2 linked regions of the Bombyx mori genome follow. The protein of the gene in region 2 purifies or fractionates together with the protein of the main gene of each other region. This does not show direct contact. Links are inferred from orthologs where the notes say so. Each region holds a gene or a part of one and is shown on either strand. Other genes may lie near its edges.

Region 1 (3,659 bases), on a different chromosome or scaffold from region 2:
ATGATTGTTGAATGAGTGTGATCGTTTGTGGCTCGTTAAACCACCAGATAAATCAGAGTTATTATTCTCGCTCGTGGCCATCTGTAAAGAAAATTACTGTCATTACATTCTTAGTCGAGTATATTGTATTGAGCGGCAGAATATTCAGACATTAAACATCCAGTATCGTTTTTGTCCGTTTCTGTATTTTTATCTCGTAAACAAACACAGAATTGAAATTTGAACAGCATTTGAATAACAATGTATTAACATCAAAATTTTTTTTAGATTTAAGACATTTAAAATAAGTGAAAAAATCAAATTTGATTTATATCTCTTTGGTTTTTATCTCCAATTCATGGGAAGTACAAGGTATGCAAGCCTTTCCATGCATCACGTATCGGATTTTGTTGTTAGTACAATTAAACATATGATATCTACTTGCAGTGATCTCTTTTTAGTTAGTAATATGAATAAACACAGGCAAGGATGATCAAGTAAAGCACTCCATCGATGGGGTAACTCTAATAACAGCATTAATCTAATGGTTGCAAACTTCAAGGCAATATTATCTTCAAACCAGTGATACACAAACAGTATCTCTTTACAAAAGAATAATCCTTGCCTGAGTCGGTGACCACGGTTATCGGTAATTTTGCCTTCATCCACCAGTGAGCGTACAAATCTGAACGATACACCACGAAACCGCTCTGCCCTTCAGCTAAGCCCTTCTGCAATTTCGACAGATCTTCGCTGCGAGACCTTGTTTTTCGCACTTGTTCGAAATCGGCATTGCTATCTTGTTTCTTATCGTTGCAAAATATGTCGCGATTCCGCGGTGTGTTGACACGCGATTTTCTATCGTTAACGTTTTCCGAAGTATCTTTGTATATACGCATGTGATAGTGAAGACTAGGCTTAGAACGCTCGGTAATATTCAAGGTACCCCATTGGCAAGGTAAGTGTTGCCGAACATTCTTAGGGACCTCCAAATGAGTGCTAGGCTTTCGGTATACTCTCGGCGGCGGCTCCGGTTTCAGTTTAATCTCTGGTACATAACGTTCAATGTTCCTCCTTATAGACGTTCTTTTGATTTGTGAAGTCGGTACGGGAGGTGTGGCGGCAAACGTTGACTTTAGATGGGTATTCGATGTATCAGTTACGTCTAAGCTGTTCTCCGAAGTCACACTCGTAACGCAAGAGGTTCTAGCCGTGGAACCGAACGGAGATGTACACCGACATTGATCTTCAAAAGTAGCGGCCTCTATATCTGACAGTGTCAGTTTCCTTCGGAGACCTCTTGTGTCACGAGCCTCTTCTGGTGTTCTCATGTTATTCCGATCAGGTATCTTTTCGTTATGATCGGAATCATTTCCTGTATTGCCTGAGCTGGCATAATCGTGCATGTCTGGTGATGTTAGGGTGCAACTACCCACAACACCTGAATCTGAGGATCTTGGACTAGGACACAAGGATCTATTACAGCACTCACACTTCTTGTGGATTTTATCATTATCTGATTGTGAACTCATTCTCTGTACCCGATTTCCGTCATCTTTATTACTGTTACTTTCTGTCTCCACCATAGATCTTGACATAGAACGTCGGATTTTTTTATCAGAATTTAGCGAATGTTTCCGAAATGGAACATTTGTGTTCAGATTTACGTTAATAACTTTCATATCATCTTCATTTCGAAACATTGGAGGAGGATCTATTATGAGGGAATCAATGTCATGGCTGCATCGCTTTGGTGAGGGCGGATCTAAAACTTGTAATAAGTTGGATGTTAAGGATCCACCGCTGTCTCTAGTAGTGTAGTTCTCTTCTGTCGATTTCCATTGTTTTGGCAACGTGTCGACCTTTACGCTGCAGTTGGGATAGCTTCGCCTTGTTGGTAAAAAATCTTTGTCATCGTTTCCTAGCGTCTCTATTTGTGTATTTTGATCCATATTCACTAAATCTTCACAAGCCATGTAAGGTCGAGCTTCGAAGCTTGAATTTTCAATTCTTTCGGAATGTGGTTCATATTCTTGTAAATCAGGAAACCCTCCAAATACATTTTGTGCATTAACTATATCATAATCCAGGTTTCGATCACTTTCACTGTTTATTTCATTAAAACCATACATCGCTTGAAACAAATCTTTGGTGCAATCTCCCTTTAATGTCAAATTCGATAGATTTTGTGATTCTTCTAAATGCATATCTGAATTGTTATCGAAATACCGCACGTAGCCCATATTACTACCCCAACTACTGTACGAAGAGGAGATTGTTCTGGGACTGTCCATAGCATCCTGCCTCAGTACCTTCAAACAGCCTGCTGCTTCGGCATCCGTACAATTCGAGCTAGTGTTGCCTTCTCTGTCGCTATCGTCGCTATCCGAATATTCTGTTTCAGTTCCGATGGTGCCGTCGTTTTCAATTTTTAGCCTAATTTGATTTTTGTGTCTCCTCCTAATAGGCAAGCCTGACAATTCGAACGCTTTCGCCCATGTTCTTTCGTGCAATAGTTTACGCAACATTTGTTTTGTTATAACTTTTTTCTTAACAAGTCTCGCAAAATATTTCGTTAATGAATAATATGGAGATGCAGAAGGGTAGCTGGGAGGTGGTAGCGTCACGTGATAAAGACTTCGGCGGCTAGAGTTGATACTAGACAACGCTCCTTCAGAAGGAGAGCGGGTCAGCTAGTAACAATATCACAAAATAAGTATATATCTTTTTCAAGAGGAAAGGTAATGTACTATAATTGTTTTTTAATGTCTATTATCTTACGATTAAATTAAAAATACAAAATCAACATCAATAGTGAAATTAACGCGTCGACGGTGCAGCAACCCTGACAGCTGTATCACGGGGTCTGCTTTCGATTCTCGGGTATAGTAAATTTCTTTGTCGAAAATATTTAAATTTTGAGTCTGACTGTACTTATGTACGTCTCGGAAACATGGTTTCGGCACACATAGTAAAGAAAATGGAAGTGGTGCCATTGCATGTGTTTAAAAAAATTACTCTAATATAGTATTATGGAAAATGTGGAATTGTAACTTACATGAGGTAATGACTGCGGTTGTCCAGGCTCGTGTGTTGGACTGTTCGTGTTAGAATGCTTTTGTAACAAACTGACCCAATTGTCAGCCTCAGCTTTTGTTTGGCACACTGCCACTATAGTGTCTATCATGGGACCACTAATTTCAAATGCATTTTTTCTTGTTTCAGTATCATCTAATTTACACACTGTGATGCCTGTCAGTGGAAGACATCCCTAAAAAAGTTTACATTTCACGTCAATTTAATAATTTCTTTATTTGTAAGCAGCAGAAAACATAACAGGCATCAGAAAACACTCTTCTCTTTCAAATCTTTTAAATTAGACCATCCGGTTGTCATAATTAAAATGATTTACGACTTTGAACTCTGTAGTTAAAGCTATTAACTAAATATTACCTCATACACAAATGCAGATACTCTTTTGCTAACTGAAAGTAATAACAGCGCTGATGGGAAGAGTACAAGGTAGCGGTCCTGATGGGACGGGCCCACTGCCACGCTGCCCATATGTAACACGTCACCCAATGAGGCTAGTTCACCCCCGGGCCAGCCACGAACTTCTCCGGTTATAACTTGTAATTCTAACTCCTTTTGACGTCGCAATGCCGCACAAGCACTCTGAA
Region 2 (3,759 bases):
AGCACTAAAAATGAGAATCTATTTTTATGAATTTTAGCAAATTTTTTTGTACGGAGCTCTAGCAATAAATCAACTGAAGCCCGAAATTTATGATCTCGAGAGAGTGCAAGGCAAGTCTGCTTTTGCATTGTAAGTTCTCCTATTGCAAGTTCGTGAAATGCAATCTAACATATTTTTTTTATTGCTTAGATGGTTGGACGAGCTTTACGCCCCACTCGGTGTTAAGTGGTTACCGGAGTCTATAGATATGTACAACGTAAATGCCACCACCCACCTTGAGACATGAGTTTGAAGGTCTCAGTTTTAACAGTATAACGTCAGCCACACCCTTCAAACCGAAGCGCATTACTGCTTCACGGTAGCAATAGGCAGGATGGTGGTACCTACCCGTGCGGACTCACAAGACATCCTAACAACACCATTCTTTAACTCCGTATTGACTGATTATCGGAAGATATAATATGAGCATCACAGCGTGTAAGTAACCATCCATTTTGATTGAATTAAGGATTCGAAGTCTCAACTGTTTTGTCTATTATCTTGCCCTTTATACCGAAACGAATAACTGGTAGGTGGCAATAATAGGAAGCTTGGTCGTAGATACGTATCTACAACCTACGCTATACCGCCAATAATTACGAATTATAAATAAACCATAACAATCAATATCACAATCTTTCAATCCTTTTTCAGTATTCGCAAGTCTAATAATTAATAGAATAATTTTTTTTGTGCAGTGTTTCAATAATTTTGATGGAATCAGATGTCCTTTATTTTGAGAATATTTTTATTACACCAATATTGTATTTCTTCTGACAAATATTCTGAACCTGTGAAATGGTTTTTTTTTATCTAAGCTTGAGAGCTATGTCAGTGTAACTTATTAAGTAGGTGAGCTCACGGGGATCTAACCTGACGACGTTGCTAACACTAACCCTAGCAAGAGCAATACTTTGCAGAATCTACCACGGGATCGGAAACGCGACCCACTGAAAAGATCCGGCGAGAAATTCAGTGGGCTTTATTTGTGGGTTATTTTACTAGCCGAGCCTTCGTCGCAAGCGATGGGTTCAACGAGAACGATGAATGATGACCAAACGATGTTCAAATTCATGAAAGTGCACAACGGGTAGAAAAATGAAACGAAATCGCTACATGTGGTTTTTCGGAGTCTTTCAATTAACGTCTCAGGAAATAAACACGATTTTACTGAGAGATCATATCATAATAACTAGACTCTACAATACTCTACATGGGTAGGTACCAGCGTACTGTGTATTTCTGCCGCCAAGTAATCATGCATTCTGATTTAAAGGGTGGAACACACTTTATAGTGTAAAATAGAAAAGTGAAGTTAAAGTTGGGGGCAGCAATCACTTTGTGATGTCTTTAAGCTCCGGTAACTACTAATAGGCCTTGAGGTCATTCACCCATCTTCATAAGAAAAAGTAAATCATCTCATCTCGTTACCAGTAGTAAATTTTATTTTATTTCTTATAACGTAAATAGGCTACGGCCTTATAAAACAAAGTTTGTAGATATAAATTATACTGAAACTCACTTTAAAACTAGAAAAACTGTAAAAGTACGAGAATAAGTTTCTCTATATCATAGAGAAAAATATTTCAAGGCTCTACTAATTATTAGTCTGTGCTTGCTGTGGAACATAGTCTATGACTTTCACGTTTGTCGTCTGCTGTATTGGAAACATCAAACAATGTTATTATTTTTACTGTAAACATTGAATGTAGTTACCACGTACATAGTAGCGTTTTTGATACAAGAAATCCCAAGAGTCGCAGCGTTGGGGGGTCGTTTGTCCAGTTCATATGATATAAGGAAATAATACATATCGTTTATATTAAAAAAAGCTGTTAAGCTATATAGAGCTATGGCGTCACATTTAAGTACTAAAGATCGCTTATTGGCACTAATAGATGATATCGAACTTATTGCTAAGTGAGTTAAAACACGATTGAACTGTGGAAAACATTACCGATCAACTTCATGTTCTAATTCTTTAAATTTTCAGGGAAATAATAGAAGTTTCCATAGCACCAAAACCACAGAAAGTGTCCGCTGCAGATCATGCTCAGTTGACGGACCTACTTCTATCAAAACATGGAGAATTGAAAAAAACATTAGACCTAGCTGACGAACAAGCAAAGATCCAACAGAAAATGAATGAACTCAAAGCTGAAGTAGATAGTAAGGTAAATACTACAAAAGAGATTTATTTTAAGTAAAAAATGGATAAAATTTTGGAGTGGACTGACTCATCCACTGCTAGTTCACAACAATTTAAGCCACAAGCGAATTATGTAATTGAAATGTTTTTGTTGTGTTACTAAGGATCAAGATATATATCACCTTCAAAGACAATTGAAAGATGCAGAACAAATTCTGGCTACATCACTGTATCAAGCTCGACAGAAACTTGCATCAATAGTGAAGTCTAGAAAGAGACCTGTACCCTCTGAGGAGTTGATCAAATTTGCACACAGGTTAGTAAACAATTAAAGATTTCTACATTGAAATTAAATATTTTTTCTGAGTCAGGTCCTTAAAACACATGATGAGTACTCCTAAATATTGAATATTAAATATTTATGATCTCAACAGAGATTTCAAACCTGACCAATGACAACAGTGAGACAATGATAGTAGGCACATTGACTAACAAATAAATCAATGAGATGTTTAGTATATTAACAGTTGATTAAGTTTATTAATGCAAAAAGTCTGAATGGATATTAGGTATTGTGTCTGAATAGCCAACAATGTTATGAAAATAACTATCTACAGAAAACAGTTTCTTTCATAACTATAGAGTTACACTTTAATTAAATTACATTAAAAAGAATTTTTAAATATTAGACAGTACACTATTTTTGATGTGAGAACTAAATAGTACTTAAAAAAACTTTTTTTGACTTACTGATATTTTACAGAATAAGTGCATCTAATGCTGTCAGCGCACCTTTGTCGTGGCAACCTGGTGATCCTCGTCGGCCTTATCCAACTGATTTAGAAATGAGATTAGGAATGCTCGGTCGCCTCTGTGATCTGCCATTGAATGGTCACACGCCTTCTACACTGAATGAACTTCATCGTATAACAACTGGTGGAGGTATAAATGCATTACTCATTATATTAATGAATCATTCTTAGAACAAGTTGCATATGTATAGAACTCTTTGTGCAGTACATATTTATACAATTCTAGTATTGGTACTTTATCGTTATAGTTAATTTGATTCATCTACAATAAGCATGTATTATCATAGTTATTAATAGCTATGAGAGAAGTGGGTGATAGGGAACACCAAACACCTAAACTACTCAGCAAGTGCTTTGGCAGATATATCATGTTTTGGACCACTGTATTAAACTCAAATATACAAGAATAATATTTTTCAGGAAAGTTGAATTAATGATCAAATTTCTATAGGATTTGTAAAGAATAAAAAAAATCTCCTATGTTATTGCCACCTCTTTTTATTAATATTGTCAACAGAGGCTTCCTTCAAAACCCATAACCCATGGAAATTATTTAAGAATATTCTTATCATCAGAATTTTACAGAAACATTTTACCCTTTTGTTAATTGCATTAGGTAAAAAAAACATGTAAAACCATTTGCTTGTTAATCAGGTTTACTGTGTTATATTATTTCAGTACCAGCTTCAGCTTCAAGCCAATTCACTTGGCATCCATCAGGCGAGCTACACATGTCTGTTGGAGGCGGTAACTCTGTAG

Evidence for each region.
Region 1: the proteins of mediator of RNA polymerase II transcription subunit 4 (region 2) and rho guanine nucleotide exchange factor 7 purify together in Homo sapiens (affinity purification with mass spectrometry; 3 studies listed by BioGRID and IntAct, with this or other methods). This does not show direct contact. The link is inferred for Bombyx mori from reciprocal best matches to the Homo sapiens genes MED4 and ARHGEF7.

What each region holds. Positions count from the first base shown.
Region 1 is NC_085110.1:9,314,597-9,318,255, forward strand, and holds part of rho guanine nucleotide exchange factor 7, read right to left. Parts: intron 3,655-3,659; coding exon 3,433-3,654; intron 3,251-3,432; coding exon 3,038-3,250; intron 82-3,037; coding exon 1-81. UniProt on the Homo sapiens protein: Acts as a RAC1 guanine nucleotide exchange factor (GEF) and can induce membrane ruffling. Functions in cell migration, attachment and cell spreading. Promotes targeting of RAC1 to focal adhesions. May function as a positive regulator of apoptosis.
Region 2 is NC_085112.1:8,190,259-8,194,017, reverse strand, and holds the start of mediator of RNA polymerase II transcription subunit 4, read left to right. Parts: upstream 1-1,635; 5' UTR 1,636-1,891; coding exon 1,892-1,959; intron 1,960-2,032; coding exon 2,033-2,213; intron 2,214-2,352; coding exon 2,353-2,504; intron 2,505-2,951; coding exon 2,952-3,130; intron 3,131-3,678; coding exon 3,679-3,759. UniProt on the Homo sapiens protein: Component of the Mediator complex, a coactivator involved in the regulated transcription of nearly all RNA polymerase II-dependent genes.